Rattus norvegicus: one gene and its partners. The protein of the gene in region 1 binds, or shares a complex with, the protein of each later gene. Links are inferred from orthologs where the notes say so. Each region holds a gene or a part of one and is shown on either strand. Other genes may lie near its edges. The genes, in order: Calcr, Ramp3 and Ramp2.

Region 1 (5,276 bases):
TATCAAGACCATGCTTTTTAGTCAATATTTATAGCTACTTTGGCAAAAGCCCATTGCCACTTTCAAATGGCCTAGCAGATCTCTATTGTAGGAAAGATTTTTGTGCTGGTCAACTTACCTTCAGTGCAATGACAGATCAAGATAAATGAGGCAGCATGTGTTGGGAAGAGGTAATAAAGGCCTGAAGGATTCTCATTATGGAGCATTTTGGTTCCAATTTATAGGAATGTAGCTCAAAGTAAGGGCACCATACAAAGCCCATTCTGCCTATGCCACCCTTCAGAAGGAGATTTCTAGAAGTGTTTGGCCAACACTGACATTTATTTTATTTTGCATTGGTTTAAAAAGAATTTCTTGCAATTAAACTTTGATTATCTCTGTTGTTCTGGGTTAGGATTTTGACTTCAATAATAAGTGAGAAATTTCCTCAAGGGAGCCCTCAAAGTATCTCCCAAGCCTTGTCTCGGTGAAGGGCTTATATATTGCTCTTATGGGAATTCCAGAGACACTTAAACACCTGTGGCCAGGTCAGATCATATGACCCTTGGAAAACAATATTATCTTCTTCTAGAGACTTACATAGTGTGTCTGTAGCTGATCTTTAGTTTCATCATCTGGGCATTGGTTCTAATTAAGGCTTATTTAGCCTTTTCAGTATCTTCTAGATTTAACTTAATGGGAGAGATTTTTTTTTCTTCTAGGGTGTCTGAGTAAGATTTTTCTGGATCTGATCAGGCAGATCTTGTAGTGAGCAGCTACACCCAATAGACCTCTTCTTACCAGGTGCACCTGGTGCTCTGCTCCCTAAAGGTCCACTGTTCAGTACCGTTATTTGAGCCTGGCAAGCCTTGATCGTGTCTATACCAGGATTTTCCCCCACCTTTTATTAATTAAAATTACCAAATCCCATTTCCTTCTCACACCTCTCTGTCTACTGTATTGAGGCTGGTAATCTATCTGCACACCTTTGCACCACTCCTGAGTATTCATCGCGGAACTGCCTCAGCCCTAGACCTCCACACTTGTATACGTGAAGACTCTAAAATAAATGACATCGGCCTTTTAAATTTCATACCACCCAGAACCTGACCCTCCTAGACTGTCCTCCTCGAGCATTCCAGGTTGGTGTCTAACGATACCTGTGTGATGGGGTGAAGCCCTGAAAAGACAATGTGCCCTCTCATAAAGGTTAGCGAATGTGTTCCAGTAGATCTCGACATCGTGTACTGAGTGGATTCCCTTGCAGTATGATGTTAAATATTGTCAGTTTGAAATGAAATAATAAATATGAAAAATGCTTTGCAATGTGGAAGGTGATGTTTGGTGCGACACACCGTTATGTAACTTCAATAGCTGAAGTAGATTTTGTGTCCACTTGTATATTTAACACATTTTTTAAAATTCATAGCAAAAACATAAAATGAAACTAAAGCCCGTACCTGTTGGGTCAAAGTCCGGAAAGTAGTCAGGGCAGTGCTGATAGGACATTACACCAGCTGGAGTGTCGTCCCAGCACATCCATCCATCCCAAGTTCGGTTGCAATATGGACCTGGGGATGCGGGAAGAAACTTGCACTGAAACACGTGGCTTGTGTGAAGGAGATTGTTTTCTGAGGAGATCAGAGAGGTTGGATCCTATCGCTTCAGTCAAGACTAATTGTATTTCAAGTGAGCCATTCTCGTTAATTTTCTTTTGAAATAAACATTCAAAGGATGTTGGTATATCTGTGGGGGAAAATCTCATTGGAGGGCAGGCAGGGTTCTTGTTTTAGCTTTGTAAGAGGCTCTGAGGTTGGGCTTCTCATAAGGCGAGCAGCTCCAAACAATGCACTTCTGTCCATTTATTTAATTGTAGAGGAGATCGAAAATTTAGCTCACAAACAAACAAAAAAAAATCGAACAGGCTCTGAGGTATGTTGTTAAGTTTTTGTTTATTGAAAATTTTACCCTTTTCAAAATATTCAACCAAGAAGTTGAATTTAAATTGTAATACTTATAGTTCACGTAAGGTGAGGCACATTTTCTACCTTTACCTTCATAGCAGTGAAGAAAAATTCATCTGTGGGATTATTTATCAGAACTGATAATACAGATCGACTCCTCTAAAATCTGAAATATATTTACATAGGGATAATATATTTTCTAATTTAATAGAGCATATCATTGTGCTGCATCTGATAAATCTTTTTTAGTTATCACTAGAGCATTATTTCACCATTTTCCACCTTTCTAAGCTTTGTCTTACAGTGTTCAAGGCTACCTAAAAGTCTTATTCAGTCTTCGAAGATGGGTCAGAGACATGGAGGAGGATTGAAAAGGCTGTGCCAATGCTCTCCTATCACACAGTTTTTCTTTTCCTTTTCTTCTCTGGGACTTCTACAGAAAGTAAACTATACTTAGCCCTGAAAGTATTTGGGCTACAAAGATTACTCTAGAAAAGAGCACAGATTAACTATGCTTACTGAGGCCATTCCCCACAGACTGGCGATGCGGTAATGAGAGAGAAGAATTATCAGAGGTTGTCAATGAATTGGCATTTGAAGGAAAGATACACCTAATGAATCCAAACAAGACAGAGTTTGCACAGATTCTGCCTCAGGCAGATGCCCTGCCAATCGCTTTGCATTTCTCTGCTGTCGCTCAGTCCTGTACTGTTCCTCCTTATTAGGTGTGAATGCTGATTTATTGAGGTAATTTTGTCATAAGGGCTAATGTCAGCCAAAATGCTATTCTATATAGGAGGGGAATAATCATATGTACTGAACAAAACACACACGCACAGCATAATGTGAGACTGTAGATCTATTCCATTTCAACTACTCACTACTATTGATGCCTTGGGAAGAAACCGACTTAAATGATGCTACACACGTAGGTTCACATGTTTCTTTTACCTTCTCCCTCATAAGGGGGCAACTGCTGAATCCGGTCATAGCACTTGTACTGAGCATCCAGAAGCTTCTTGCGTCCAACCAAGTACAGGAATGGCTCCTGATCAAGGCCGGAGTCAGTGAGATTGGTAGGAGCCTGAAGAACTGGAGTAGGGCTCTGTATAAAAGGTACAGAGAAGGAAATGACTTAACACAAAAATATAAATGTGCTAATTGTAAAAAATACAAAAACATTTCTTTTCTCTGTAAGCAACATTTATGTAGAACTTTACATAAAATATTCTATAATGAAAATGCATCATGTTTAACATTCATATTCTACCCACTTATACTTGTATCAATGTACAGTTCATTTAACATTCATATTCTACCCACTTATACTTGTATCAATGTACAGTTGCTATTGAGAATGTAGAGCAATCATACACACTCACACACATCTTATAGTTTTGGTTGTGAGCCTAGCCTTTAACGGCTGAGCCATCTCTCCAGCCCACTCACACACATCTTAATAATCTCCTATGGTTTTAATTTATTTTCTTTGGAAAGTCTACACATAAACGGGGCAAATAATTTGATTTTCGAAACATCTCCATTTTAGACCAACTTTTCCATCTTTGTAAATCTTAAGAATCATGGGTTGCACATTTAAAAACATAGAAATTACAGGAAAAACATGCTTCTTTAGTGGACATCTTCAGCTAGGTTTTGCTCAGGTGTGGTTTGTGTACTCTGCCAAAATTTGCCTTGTGCATCCCTCGGATCAAAGAAAATAATTGACTTTAAGTTCTTCAAAGTGGCACTTGACTTACACATTGTAATTCATATTCAGTGAACAAAGCAAATATAACTCTTCAATGTTTATATTGGTACATCGGGTTTCAGAACAAGTTGACATTGCCTTTCTACTCAGTCACCATCTGCAGGTCTTTGCTTCCCATAAGTTGTGTGTTTGGACATGTGTGTACGAGTGAGGTGATCATCACTATACTGTCTCTTCTCGCTTGTAATCAAGAGTTCCGTTTTCTCAGTTGACACACCCGGTGTGCATCTTAGTAGTGCCAGCCACATTAGGAATAAAGCTTATTTATTTGTTGAGCTTCGTGCTCAAATATCTCTGATTCTGTGTCTCCCACTATGTCCGACCCTGCAATAACATGTCATCAATGTGAAGATGTATAGTACAAAATTCAGAATAGGGAAAGGATCTGGGGTAAAAATATTTCATGACAGTTACAGATACATAGAAGAATTTGAATGGGATCTTGGGTTTCTGGAGGGATCTAGAGAAGAGAAGAAAGGCTGTGTAGAGGGAAAAGCCACACTAATGTTCAGGGACTGCTATGACACTGTGGTGACATCATCATGACAAAGGGGAGTATAGTTTAGGATAGGTAAGGAGTTGAAGAAAACAGATATTGCATATTTCTGAAATACCAAAAAAATTTAAAAAAACCCATTACATATTTTGATCAATTAAGGTTTGGAAGGCAGAATTATAGCAATGTTCATTCAGCAGCATAGATCTCCACAATTCAAAGGTCGTGGGGAGAGGGGAGGCTGGAAATTGAATGTCTGGGCCATAGCACCCCATGGTAGAATAAGAGAACACAGCTCTCGACACTTTGCCATGCAGTGGAGAGATGAAGACATATCTCAATATAAGGACTGGGAGTAGTGATGCCCAAAGGGCATAGATATTTGGTCCACACTTCTGAAAAAAAGGGTGATTTCTGGAGGAAGCAATATGGGGTCAAATTAAAATCTGTGTGGGGGAAGGTGAGCACTGGTTTAGACATGCCCACAAGTTAGTTGGGTAGAAACTGTTTATATGGTGAAGACGGTGGATACTTCTAACCGTTATAACACTCCTACAATTTGAATATTGATTACTTGGTATTTAATGTATCTTAAATTTATTACAGCAGAGAAATGGATGACCCTGGTCAAATAAACGTGTGCAGCCCCTTTAACCACGTCACAAAACGCAGCTCCCTGTGAAGACTCATTTCTCACTGATTTTCAGAGAGAAATGGTTACTGAACTGGGCAAGCCAAACATTCCTGAGGATGAAGTCCTGAAGCAAACAGGTGTGAATCCTGCTTCTGTGGACCTAACTGTCTAGGAAGAGACACTCCTGACCAGAGACACCATGAACAATCATCTCCCTGCAGGACATTCTCAGATATACCATTAGAAATTAGAATGTGTTTTTGTTCAGCTTACATTTTTCTATTTTACTTTTTTAAAAAGAGATTCCTTATTTGTGTTTGTGTTTTAATATCTAATTTGCTCACATTTGTAAGGAAGTATGTGATTATATTTAAAACGTCTAAATTGATATGACTGAACCATTAAAGAAGGGAGGATGGCATTGCTCTTGTG
Region 2 (5,830 bases), on another chromosome or scaffold:
TACGCACGCCAAGTCTGGTCAGAACAGGCTTGCTCAGTCATTTCTCCATGACTTTACCACCCTCCGCCAAGCGAACCCAACTACCTAAGAAGAAGGGGTGAGGAGTCTCTCACCACACGCCTGCCTCCTGGCTCTGCCTTGAATCCCTGTGTATCCCAGTTTCCATGTTTTCCAGTGTTCTAATGTACCCCGGAAGCTTTACATACCCCAGAATTTCCATGTGCCCCAGAAATCCCCCACCACCAGAACCTCTGTGTGCCCCAGACCCCTCTGCACACCGTAACGCTCACATGCTCTAGAATCTCCACACACCCCAAAATCTCCATGTGCCATGTGAAAACCCCAGTATCTCCAAGTAGCCCCAGGGTCATTGTGAATGAACTCTAGAACCTTCGCCTGGTCCCAGAAGCCTTGATTACCCCTGAACCGCTCAGGGCATGACAAAGCAAGAGTCTGTCCCATGCAGCTGTGAGGTACCATGGAGGACTGTGTGCTACCCTCGAACAGAACTGCTGACTTCCCCGCCCTGATCAGGAGAGTTTCAAAAATGCTCTGGGACCACCCTAGACAGGCACAAGGTCACAGACGGTGCCCTCCCAGGGGACCCCAGTCCGTCACCATTTCAGATGCATACAAGGCTAAAAGGGCACTCTTGAGTAAAGCCCCTGACCCCTGGGACTCCATGAAAGTCGCCACCACTCAAGCTGCTGGCTGATCTGTACTGTTCTCAGGAACTGAATCAACGTAGAAATCCATTCCGGATGGTTCCGTTCCGAAACAAAGAACACTCAGCCCTGTGCGTCTTTTGTCTCGGCGACTTCCAGATGCCGAGAAATGATAAACAGCCGGGCAGATGCATTTCCTAGAGAACGGACCTTTGTCATCTGGAAATGAAACCAGGCACTTTCATCCTCCATGGAATGAGCACAACCAGACTGGCCGCAAAGGCATGGGCGGCTGGCCTCGGCGGCTGCGGTGTCCAGGCTGTTCTGTCCCCTGCGCATGTGCTCAGAGCAGTTCTCTCCCTATCTCTCCACCTGAATTCCCTTATGGGAAATGGGCCAATGACCTCCAAGGCAGCTCCAATACTGAAAATTCTGCGTTTAACAAACCACCTTCTTCAAGACCTCACGTCTCCAGTACTGCTTGTCCGCTCAAAATGAGTGTGTACGGCACATTACTATAGCTCATGACAAAATCGGGACACCATGTTCACACACACACACCACATGCGTGCTCACACAGATCCCGGGGGTGCTCTCCTCACGGTGGTAAGAACCAGGAGCACCCTCCTCTTTATCAGGAGAGCATTTTGCCTCCACAGCACAGTGATTGGCCTGAACTCAACTGACCCAAGCCAGTCAACCCAGGCGCACTCCGCAGCTGCACTCCTGCTGTAATTAGGGAAACTGAGGCTAAGAGCCGATAAGGAGACACCCGCTGGGCTGGAGAGATGGCTCAGTGGTTAAAGCACTGACTGCTCTTCCAGAGGTCCTGAGTTCAAATCCCAGCAACCACATGGTGGCTCACAGCCATCTGTAATGGGATCTGATGCCCTCTTCTGGTGTGTCTGGAGACAGCAACAGTGTATTCATACATATAATTAATTAATTAATTAATTAATTAATAAAAATAAAAGGAGACACCTGCTGGACTCCTCATCCCAGGATCCTGAGAAGTATCAAAGTGTCCTCGCAGAGTACTTTAGAATTCCGAGGAAGCCCCACAGGCCCAGACCTTTATTGTTTGGAAGCGATGTCTCTCCTGATGCTGCTCTCTGCAATGACTGGGCCCCAAATCTATGCAGGCTAGAGTTCCGGACATCACAGTGTCAACAAAGCACAGATGGTGGTCAGCATACTAGGCACTCGGAAGCTCAGTTCTTCCCTTCCAGAAGGTGGACCGAGCTCAGAGCCCACCTTGGCCAGCCTGCGTGCGACGGGCTTCGTCTCTGACTCTTGGGCTGGCCAGACTCGGAGCAGCCATGTCTGTGAGAAGGCTGAGCCTGCCCTGCCGCCAAGAAGCCTGCTCCCCTGGGTGAGGACGACAGTGGGCACTTCCAAAGTAGGATGGGAAGGGGGACCAGGACTGCTAGGATTTCGTGCAGTTGCTTCCCAGTTCCACACTAGAAACAGTCAGGAGAGACAGGGTTTCCCTCAACATAAACTCTGGACCTTCCTTCCTCTAGAAACCAAAATCCTCACCGAGGAGCCTTTCGTTGGAGTTTCGCTAAAATCCCAAAAACACTGCACGGCCTTCTGGAAGTGGCCACAGTGCCAGCCCTTCAACATAAAGCTCTACCCTAGCCTTGGTGCCCTCTGTAGAACATGAAACAGGGCCTCACTCTGTAAACAGAGACCTCTTCGAAGGGAGAGAACCAATTGTTGAGTCTGGCCCAACTCTGTCCCAACTCCCAGACCGCATCTCAGGTCATCGACACTGAAGAAACATTGCAAACAGGTCCAACTTCGCCTTACAGCCAAGGAGGCTGAGCCAGGAAAGTAAGGGAAACATCCTAAAGGACTCGGCGCCATGGCCCTGGATACAGACCTCCACCCCCAACCCCTGCAAATAGCTTCCCTCCCAGTTCTGGCCAGGCCTCGCCCAGCGCTCCAGCTCTTGGCAAGCTCTCTCCCATCAAACCCTTCCACAGGTACACAGGCACACGCATGCTCACACAGGCACACAAATACAATCATGCACACTCAGGGGCACAGATACATGCATATATGTACGTACACACACATATACACGTACGTGTACACATGCCCTCTTATTAATCTTATCTTTGGGTAACTTCTTCAGTAAGATACTTCTTTTTTTGTAGTATTTCTTTTTTAATGATTTTATTCTTTGAAATTTTATATATGTATACAACACATTTTGAGCATATCCGCCCCTACTGTCCGCACCCCATTAAGCTCCCTCCCTCGGGCTCCCTTAATATGTCTCCCTACTAACTTTATGCCCTCCACACCCCTTTCAAAACAAGCTTAATATTTGTCCCATTTATATCTTGTGAGAGCAATGTTTCTCCCTGAGTCCAATTTTTCTCACTGGAAAAGGATTCTAGCCAGCTGCACGGGAAGCTCACTACCTCACCAAAGACCTTTCCCTAGATGCCACGACATCGCAGCCCCGCCGGGAACCTTGTGCATCCCTAGCAACCCAAGGCCTTTTCCTTTGGCTCCTCTAAGGTCCGAGGTGTTATGAAGACCCTCCACAAAACCTGCAGATGCGCGCTTGAGCTAGCGTGCCTGCGTCCTTTCCAAACTCTGGTAAAAGAGAGAGCGCAGCTTAGGCTCGATGCGGGAAGGAGAGAGTCCGCATGGGTCCCAAGGCCCCGAGGAGATGGAGTGTCCCAAACCCAAATGTCTCCTTACCACAAAGCAGCAGCAACAGAGGGAGAAGGTGCAGCCGCTGTGCCGGGGTCGCCATGGCCAGCTAAGATGCACTCGGCTTACAGCAACAAGCAGAGGTAAGAGACTTGGGGCGGGACCAAGGCGGAACCTCGGAGAGCCCCGCCCAGGCCACGCCCCGACTCCTCTGACTCTCGCGGCTGCCTAGAATCCTCAGCTTTTTTCTAGAGAGGCAGGTGGGGATGGAAGAGTTTGGGGGGAAGTGGGGGTGCCGGAGGGGAGCGTAGCGTTGGGATCTGGACTGGAACAGAGGAAAGGCAAGTGCAGTTGAGTGGCCGGACTAGGAAAGGGGTTCTGACCGGAAAACTGCAGTTTTGGCTGGGGATGAACTGGTTACAGACCTTAGCGTCAAACTGGGGAGCAAGCTGGGAAAATGAAGGGACATAGGACAGGTTGATAGAGGGGAGCCAGGCAAGAGATAGACAAGAGGTTGAACTTGGAGAAACCAGAGGTTCATCCTTTCAGGTCCCTATGGGACCCCTGTAAGATAAGCATATATATTTAAGCAGAGACAAGTTTGAGAGCCCTGTCTCCAAGGGACAGGGAAGGGCATGAAGTGGGTTGCTGAGCAAACCGAAGATGAGGAGCATGACCTACCAGACGGAGGCAGCGAGGAGGGGAACTTAAGTGTGCACACATGCAAACGCAAATGGCTACATCTGAAGCAAACTGAGGGCAGGCAGGTCAGTGAGTGGGGCCTTCGAGGACCTGGCTTCTAGAAGCGTCAGGTAGGAAGAAGAGAAAAGGCTTCAATTTCTCCACCATCGGTCACTTAACCAGAACAGATCATGGTCTGTCCTTGATCTGTCCCTCGGCCCCAGGACACCTTCCTGTTCCCGATGTTGGGACCACTCCTCAGAAAGAGAAAAGCGGAACTCTTTGTCCTTCCGGAGCGAAGTGTATTGCCCCTCTAGAGAGCACATGCTGGTCTGAGAGCTAAGGCACAGACCTGGGGAGATGGCTTCCCCACCTGGATGAGCACGCCCGTCTAGGCTGGCCTTTCCTGACCTAGAAAGGCTCACTACAACTTTCTGTGAATTTTCACTGAGAAAATTCTGGTCGAAGCCAGAATCGACTCAAGGGAGAGAATGTTTGAAATTTGAAAAACAAACAAGCAAACAAACAAAAACGTGTAACTAATTTAGGACTACTGAAGAGAGGCCACAGTGGTTAAGGACGCTTGCAGAGGACCTGGGTTCGGTTCCCACAAGTAGTAGCAGTAGCTCATGGTCATCTGTAACTCCAGCTCCACAGGACGACCAGTTCTCCCTGTCCTGGCCTCTGAGGGTGCTGCACGCACATTGTGCACCCCTCATACACATAAACTAAGTGAATCTTAAAGATTAAAAAATAATAATGATGGGGTTGGGGATTTAGCTCAGTGGTAGAGCGCTTGCCTAGCAAGCGCAAGGCCCTGGGTTCGGTTCCCAGCTCCGAAAAAAAGAAAAAAGAAAAAAAATAATAATAATGATAACATTTTTTTAAAAGCCAGTTAGCATGGGAAGCCTAGAAAACCTAGGCTTGCTACAACAACAAAGGAGTTTAATTGAGATTAAAATTGATTTAACTTGGTCAGTCATCCTGCTTCAGCCTAAAGAGGTGCAGGACAGGTCTAGAGGGGCCAAACATCTAGGTCATGATCCCCTCCCCCGTGCTAAGGGGTGGGGGACACTAATCAGGACACAAAGGCTAACCAGCAAGTTGCTCTCACAGAGGAAGTTTGGGTTGATTGTCTCACAACCTGAAGACAGAGATGGGGAGGCAGATTCTGTACCTCAGGTGGGCACCAGCTCAGGGCGGCTGAGGTTGCCTCCGTGGCCTGTGCAGGAAGTGCTCACTGGTTCTGCTGTGGGGAAACCTTATTCCCAACACCTCAGCTATACAGGGCTGCCCATCCCCGTGGCACACCCCAAAGGCCTCTGTTCCTGCTGAGAAGCAGCCTGTGTCACACCTGCAAAGCAGAGCCTTCTGCCTTCCGCCTTCCTTCTCAGCCCATGGCCTCCCAGCGACAGAGTGGGTGGAGGGGAGCTATTACCACAAGTTGACTTAGCACAGGTTGCAAGAATGGTCAGTGCCACAACCACCATTCTGCTTTCCTGACATAGGGACCCCCTGTTCTTCCCATTCCCCTCCCTGCCTCTGCTAGGCAGCCCATTTGGCCCATCTGCACAGAACTGTCTCCTGCACTCGGAATCACCTGCTCCCCCACACACACCAACCCCCACTCCAGATCCTGTTCTCCATTCTACATAACGCCCAGAGACGGACCTCTGGGGCACCGGCAGTGTCAAGCAAGGTACCCAGGACAGGCATGAACCAGGGACAGTCAGAACAAGGCTGCTTTTGGCTGCTTTTGGCAGTCTGCCCGCAGAGATCCTGTGACCATAGGAACACAGGGCTGAGAGACAGAA
Region 3 (5,449 bases), on another chromosome or scaffold:
TGAGGCCAGCCTGGTCTACAGAGTGAATTCTGGGACAGCCAGGGCTACACAGAGAAACTGTCCTTAGGTTACTGGTTCGTGATGGCATATGCGGGGTTGGGGATTTAGCTCAGCGGTAGAGCACTTGCCTAGCAAGCGCAAGGCCCTGGGTTCGGCCCCCAGCTCCAAAAAAAAAAAAAAAAAAAAAAACCCAAAAAACTGTAATGGCATATGCATTTAATCCCAGCCCTTGGGAGGCAGACACAGGAAGATCTCTGGGTTTCGGGATAGCCAGGGCTACACAGAGAAACCTTGTCTGCAAAAAACAAAACGAAATCCCTTTGGTGACAGATATGGCCTGAGAGGAGTATATCTTTGACAACACATAGGAAGGTTCCAAGAAATGCAGACATCTATCTACAAAACAGATAAGCATGTGCCAGGGAAGAGACATGCACATATTTGGCAAGCAGATATTTCAGCAGGGAGAACAGAAGCCTCTGAAGAGGTTAAGAGGGCTGCAAAAGGGATTGGGGATTTAGCTCAGTGGTAGAGCGCTTGCCTAGCAAGCACAAGGCCCTGGGTTCGGTCCCCAGCTCCGGAAAAAAAAAAGAGGGCTGCAAAAGGTAATCAGGTGTTTTCACATAAAGCAAAGTTGCTTTGCCTGTGTGTGGGAGGACCCGACAAGTGTAGCCCAGAAGTATTGGACATGAGAGTTTCCCGGTGAGGAGAACTAATCTTCCCTGCCCGGGAAACAGTTCATACACGGAAATGGTGAGTTGCAGAGAAGCAGATATGTTAATAGAATATCATAGCCATATTTCTCAAAAAAGCTAATAGAAGAGCCTGGCTAACAACTAGGTTGTAATGGAAATAACGTTTCTGAACCCCAGGGTCCAGTGTTTCTCAGCCTGGAACCTGTTCCAGGTTTTATACATTGTCTGGTTGTTGGTTTTAGTGGACACCAGGGGGCAGTGTGTGGCCATGATGGATCTCTTAGACAATGTGGGATGAAGGCCAGGAACATAAAGGGGAACAGTAGAATCCGGTAAAGGAAGCCCCCGTTGCCTTGGGCCTCAAGCCTGAGACGCTGATGGACAAATTCCTATTGGTAATCATATTTCTTCTTTCTGGCTGTAGAGTAAACTGAGGCGAAGAAGGCAAAGCTGGGCTCCTGGGTAGCCTTTTTTCCTTGCAGGGGTTATTGTAGAGGTTTCTTGCCCCTCCTCCCACACCTTCCCAACCACAGGCCCCCAGCTGTTGTCCAGACCGGAAGGGAGTCTCTTCCTGCTCATTTCCTGGAGCTGGGTTTGGATAGCTGCAGGAAAGGCCTCTCCCTGGGAGGAAAGAGTATAGGAACATGGCCTTCATGTGGAAGCGGAGGGCAGGTGAAATGAACTGAACAGCAGGGTCGTCTTCAAGCTCCGTTGCCCAGTAATGATGCCCCGTAGGACTATCATCTACACAGACCCCACTAGGAAGGGACGATTGTACAAAAACATATTTTATTTTAAAGACGACGGACATTGTGCTATCAGTTCCCCTTTCTTCCATTTCCACCAATCCGAAGGTCTGTGGGAAGGATGGGAGTAAGTGGGTAGGGAGGGGAGGAGAGATCCTGGTTCCAGCAGGGTACAGGGAAAAGATGGCTGCTGAGAGGCGGAGCCTACGCCTGCGCATCGCCGTCTTTACTCCTCCACACCACAAGCGTAACGAGGAAAGGGATGAGGCAGATGGGGGCTATGATCATGGCCAGAAGCACATCCTCTGGGGGATCGGAGAAGGTAGGCTGCACCAAGGAGCAGTTGGCAAAGTGTATCAGGTGAGCCTCAAGGATGATACTTTCTGCCAAGGGATTTGGGAAGCCCAGGCCAAACTTGTCTGCCTCGTACTCCAAGCAATACCGCAGGTTGCTGTAATACCTGGAGAGCAGTAGGGGATTCGAGTGAGGGAAGGATTGGGTCCAGGGAGAAGGATGACCCCCCACCCCCCACCCACAAAGGTCAGATCCAACTCCTGGCCTGAGCCATCCTCCTTCAACACTGCCCCTACCTGCTAATCAAAGTCCAGTTGCACCAGTCCTTGACAGAGTCCATGGAAGTCTTGTAATAATACCAGCAAGGTAGGACATTTGTTTCGTAGTCCTCCATCTTCCCTGTGGGGACAGAGGCTTCCCAATGACCACACCCCTGGCCCTCCCTCCGAGCCTTCTGATCCAGGTATTTCCAGAGTACAGTCTTCTGCCTTTAGAGAAGGGAATCCCTCTGAAAATCTCCCTAGCAGGACACTTGTGGCCGAGAGGAGCATTCTCTCCCCGAACTCTGTGGCTCGGGAATCCTGCAATGGCAATTATATTGTCTAGCCCCGCAAGATATTCACATAGACCTAGTCTTGCTCTACCTAGCCAACTGGGCCAAGGCACTGGACTGTGGCTTTGTGGGATGATAGGGAGGAAGACCATAGGAACCCCAAGAGACACCAGAGAGGTTAGCGGGCATCAGTTGGTTCTAGGATTGTCTTGTGAAAGGACTCCTCCCCCGTGCTGGGCTTATCCTTCCCACTAGGTCATTCTCCCTCAGACTTAGGCACTCACCTTTTGACAGAAGGCTGTCCTCAGTAGGATGAGATTGATTCAGGGACTCCGGAGAGGTTGAGACAGCTGTATAAAGAAATGAACCAGAAGGGTGGGGTGATATGGGGAGAGGTCTGAACAGTAGTACCTGTTTATGGGTAGCGAGCAAGGCCCTGGGAAGTCAGCACTGCTTTGGAACAAAAAGAATAATCTCCCCTCCTCCCCCATGGGATTGTCCTATTGAGGGAAGGGAACGGCTGGTACCAGATGCGTCCCAATCACTCCCGAGTCCAAAGCCCTCTCCCTCTTTGTCAGTCCTGAACCTCCTAAGACTTCTCTGCGGGGTCCGAGCAGGCACCCCAGCTTTTCTTAAGTACGAAGCAGCCTAAGTAGCTGGCCTGCGCCAAACCAGAGATGTGTTCAGGACCCATGTGCAGGTCAGAGCTGCTCCTCACGTCGGTTGGCACTCGCAGGGTGGTCCCGTGCTGGCCTCGATGGCCCAGGCCCCTTCCCCTCCCGGACCTCCCTCATCTCCCACCCGGGCCCCAACGCTGTGCTCACCGCCCAGCAGCAGCAGCAACAGCAGCAGTAACAGCGGAGGGAGGCGGAGCGCTGCGGGCCGCTGGGCGCTGGTCACAGCGAGCTGTGATCCACCCGGGGCGCGCTCTACCCGGAGCGGAGCCATCACGCCTTGGGCGAGATGGCGAGGAGGGGCGGCGGAGCTGAGCTGGCCCGGGCGGGGGCGCCTATATCCCGGGCCCCAGCCGCAGGAAGCCGCGCCGCTTCCTCGGAGGGGCTGGCACGGCGGCGGCCACGTGGGGGGCGGGCTGCAGAGGGAGTCACTGCCGCACCCGTAATTCACTCGGCCTGGATTGCCTTGGCCCACTCTCGCTTCCAGCTCGGACCGCGGGGCTGGACAGCTCCCCCTGTACCCCATGAACCGGGATCCACTTCCCATCCCGGACTAGCTCAAGTCTGCCAGCATCAGCCGAGGGATTCCAGTCGCTTCCTCCTTCTCGCACCGGAGGGGTGGGGACCCGCTGCTGTCCCAGACCTGGGGAAGAAGGAGGCGGTTGGGAGCTCCAAGGGCCTCCGATGCCTTGGTATCTGAGGCAGGGGTTTGGGTGGGAAGTGGCGGCAAGAGCTGCGCCCGCACCACTTTCTTTTCCCAGGGAACACCCACTGATGTCTGCCAAAATCCGGATAGTAGAGGGGCCTGGCCCTACTGAGAAAGGGAGAAGACGGTCAGGGAAGCAGGGTAGGGAGGTAGTAATATCTAAATAACCCTCCTTCAATGTAAATTCTGGGTCCTTCACCCACAAACCTGATATTGGAGTGCAAAAAGAAAGATGACTACATTTCCAGGAAAATGGCCACCCAGGTTGTTAGAACTAAGGGAGACACTAGAACTTTTTTTTTTCTTTTTTTCTCCTTTTCGGAGCTGGGGACCGAACCCAGGGCTTTGCGCTAGCTAGGCAAGCGCTCTACCACTGAACTAAATCCCCAACCCCTGATACTAGAACTTTCAATGTGCCACTTAGTGTTTGAGGTGAGCTGCTGCTGCTGCTGCTGCTGCTGCTGCTGCTGCTGCTGCTGCTGCTGCTGCTGCTGCTGCTGCTGGAACCCAGCCCCAAGGCAAGCATATTTTTACCACCACCAGTTTTATAGAGGAGGAGGCAGCTAAAGATTAAGGAGAGACCCCAGGACTCGAACTGAAAAGTTCTGTTCCTAAATCTATTTTCCCACTCCCCGGCCTTGGACGCTACAGTTGCCATCGGTTTCTCATGCACCATTAAGACCTTGCTCTCCTTCTGCTCTGGAGGAATCTCCTCCTTTGTAGAAAGAGACTGTACTCACTCCACAGAAGCCGGTTTTCTTTTTTTCCCTTTCCTGAGTAACTTGGCTAAGGTCGAATTTTACTGGGAAGCCCTGAGGCTCAGTCTGGGCCCCCAGGGATCCTGCCAGCTATCACAACTCAGCTGTTGCTGTATATTGGGCCAGCTATCCATTAGCCTGAATTAGCCCAGGGGCTTGTTTGATCGCACTTTTTAATTCCAATCATACAGCTGTCAGCACAAAACTTTCCCAATTACTCCCAGACATTGACCCTTGAACTCAGCTGTTGCTGTTGTCCCAGTTTACTGATCTCAGTCCACCAAAGTTATCTTTTATGGTCTCTTAAAAAAAAAAAGAAGAAGAAAAAGAAAAAGCATCTCAGGACCTCAGCTGCATCATGGCGACAGGCAGCTGGAATTAATTAATTATAGGCAGCATAAGGGGTGGTGGTGGCCCTTTGAACGCCTCAGAGTTCTGTTGGTAAGGGTCGTTCCTTCAAAGGTGCAGAGAGCCAAGTAGCCTCCGAGACGCTTCAAACTGGGGACCAAACTTTATATCTCCCATTCTTCAAAGAATCACCCTTTCCTTCTTTAGATCTTAAATGCTTTTCAATGTACATATGTGTGTGTTGGGGGGGGCACATGTATGTATGTACATGTGTGCAGGTGCCTGAAGAAGCCAGAGTAGAGTATTGGGGGGTGGGGGTCCTCTGGAGCTGAAGTTACAAAGGAGTGGGAACCACATGAGTGCTGGGAACTGAACGTCTTCCTGTGCAGGAGCAGAAAAATGCTCTTAACCACTAAGTGATCTCCCTAGCTGCTTGCCTGCCTTCCTTCCTTCCTCTCTCCTTACTTTCTCCTCCCTTCCTTCCTTCTGTCTCCTCCCTCCCTTCCTTCTTCCTTCCTTCTGGATCAGTATCTCACGAAGCTCCAGTTTGCCTCAACATAGCCAGGGAAGACCTTGAATTTGTGATCTACCCGCTCCACTTTTTGAGTATTGGGATCACAAGAGTTCACAGCCACACCCAGTTGATGTTATGCCGAGGATAAAACGCAGGGCCTT

What was found.
Region 2: the proteins of Calcr (region 1) and Ramp3 are in contact, whole or in part, in a cryo-EM structure (PDB 8F0K), measured with the Homo sapiens proteins. The link is inferred for Rattus norvegicus from reciprocal best matches to the Homo sapiens genes CALCR and RAMP3. Residues at the interface, in NP_001158210.1 of Homo sapiens: Arg45, Lys46, Met49, Asp50, Gln52, Tyr53, Lys54, Tyr56, Asp57, Met59, Gln60, Arg74, Thr75, Trp76, Asp77, Gly78, Asn124, Arg126, Phe235, Leu238, Ile242, Thr246, Gln257, Arg258, Trp261, Tyr262, Leu264, Leu265, Phe269, Ile276; in NP_005847.1 of Homo sapiens: Cys57, Leu59, Ile63, Tyr66, Glu67, Thr70, Tyr83, Trp84, Pro85, Gln90, Ile93, Thr94, His97, Arg98, Phe101, Ser102, Cys104, Val106, His110, Leu111, Glu112, Asp113, Pro114, Val118, Leu119, Leu122, Ile123, Pro126, Val127, Leu129.
Region 3: the proteins of Calcr (region 1) and Ramp2 are in contact, whole or in part, in a cryo-EM structure (PDB 7TYX), measured with the Homo sapiens proteins. The link is inferred for Rattus norvegicus from reciprocal best matches to the Homo sapiens genes CALCR and RAMP2. Residues at the interface, in NP_001158210.1 of Homo sapiens: Arg45, Lys46, Met48, Met49, Asp50, Gln52, Tyr53, Lys54, Tyr56, Asp57, Met59, Gln60, Trp76, Gly78, Arg126, Phe235, Leu238, Ile242, Thr246, Val250, Glu255, Lys256, Gln257, Arg258, Trp261, Tyr262, Leu264, Leu265, Phe269, Pro273; in NP_005845.2 of Homo sapiens: Trp86, Tyr93, Ser94, Arg97, Asp98, Glu101, Leu109, Pro112, Glu117, Ile120, Phe121, His124, Phe128, Cys131, Pro136, Phe138, Ser139, Asp140, Pro141, Leu146, Met149, Ile150, Pro153, Ile154, Leu156, Ile157, Leu160, Ile161, Leu163, Val164.

What each region holds. Positions count from the first base shown.
Region 1 is NC_086022.1:32,641,560-32,646,835, forward strand, and holds part of Calcr (calcitonin receptor isoform 1a precursor), read right to left. Parts: intron 3,049-5,276; coding exon 2,895-3,048; intron 1,551-2,894; coding exon 1,440-1,550; intron 1-1,439. UniProt on the Homo sapiens protein: G protein-coupled receptor activated by ligand peptides amylin (IAPP), calcitonin (CT/CALCA) and calcitonin gene-related peptide type 1 (CGRP1/CALCA).
Region 2 is NC_086032.1:85,738,954-85,744,783, reverse strand, and holds the start of Ramp3 (receptor activity-modifying protein 3 precursor), read right to left. Parts: upstream 3,471-5,830; 5' UTR 3,439-3,470; coding exon 3,384-3,438; intron 1-3,383. UniProt on the Homo sapiens protein: Accessory protein that interacts with and modulates the function of G-protein coupled receptors including calcitonin gene-related peptide type 1 receptor (CALCRL), calcitonin receptor (CALCR) and G-protein coupled estrogen receptor 1 (GPER1).
Region 3 is NC_086028.1:86,686,975-86,692,423, reverse strand, and holds Ramp2 (receptor activity-modifying protein 2 precursor), read right to left. Parts: upstream 3,277-5,449; 5' UTR 3,237-3,276; coding exon 3,113-3,236; intron 2,639-3,112; coding exon 2,573-2,638; intron 2,135-2,572; coding exon 2,032-2,134; intron 1,902-2,031; coding exon 1,646-1,901; 3' UTR 1,468-1,645; downstream 1-1,467. UniProt on the Homo sapiens protein: Accessory protein that interacts with and modulates the function of G-protein coupled receptors including calcitonin gene-related peptide type 1 receptor (CALCRL) and calcitonin receptor (CALCR). Required for the transport of CALCRL to the plasma membrane.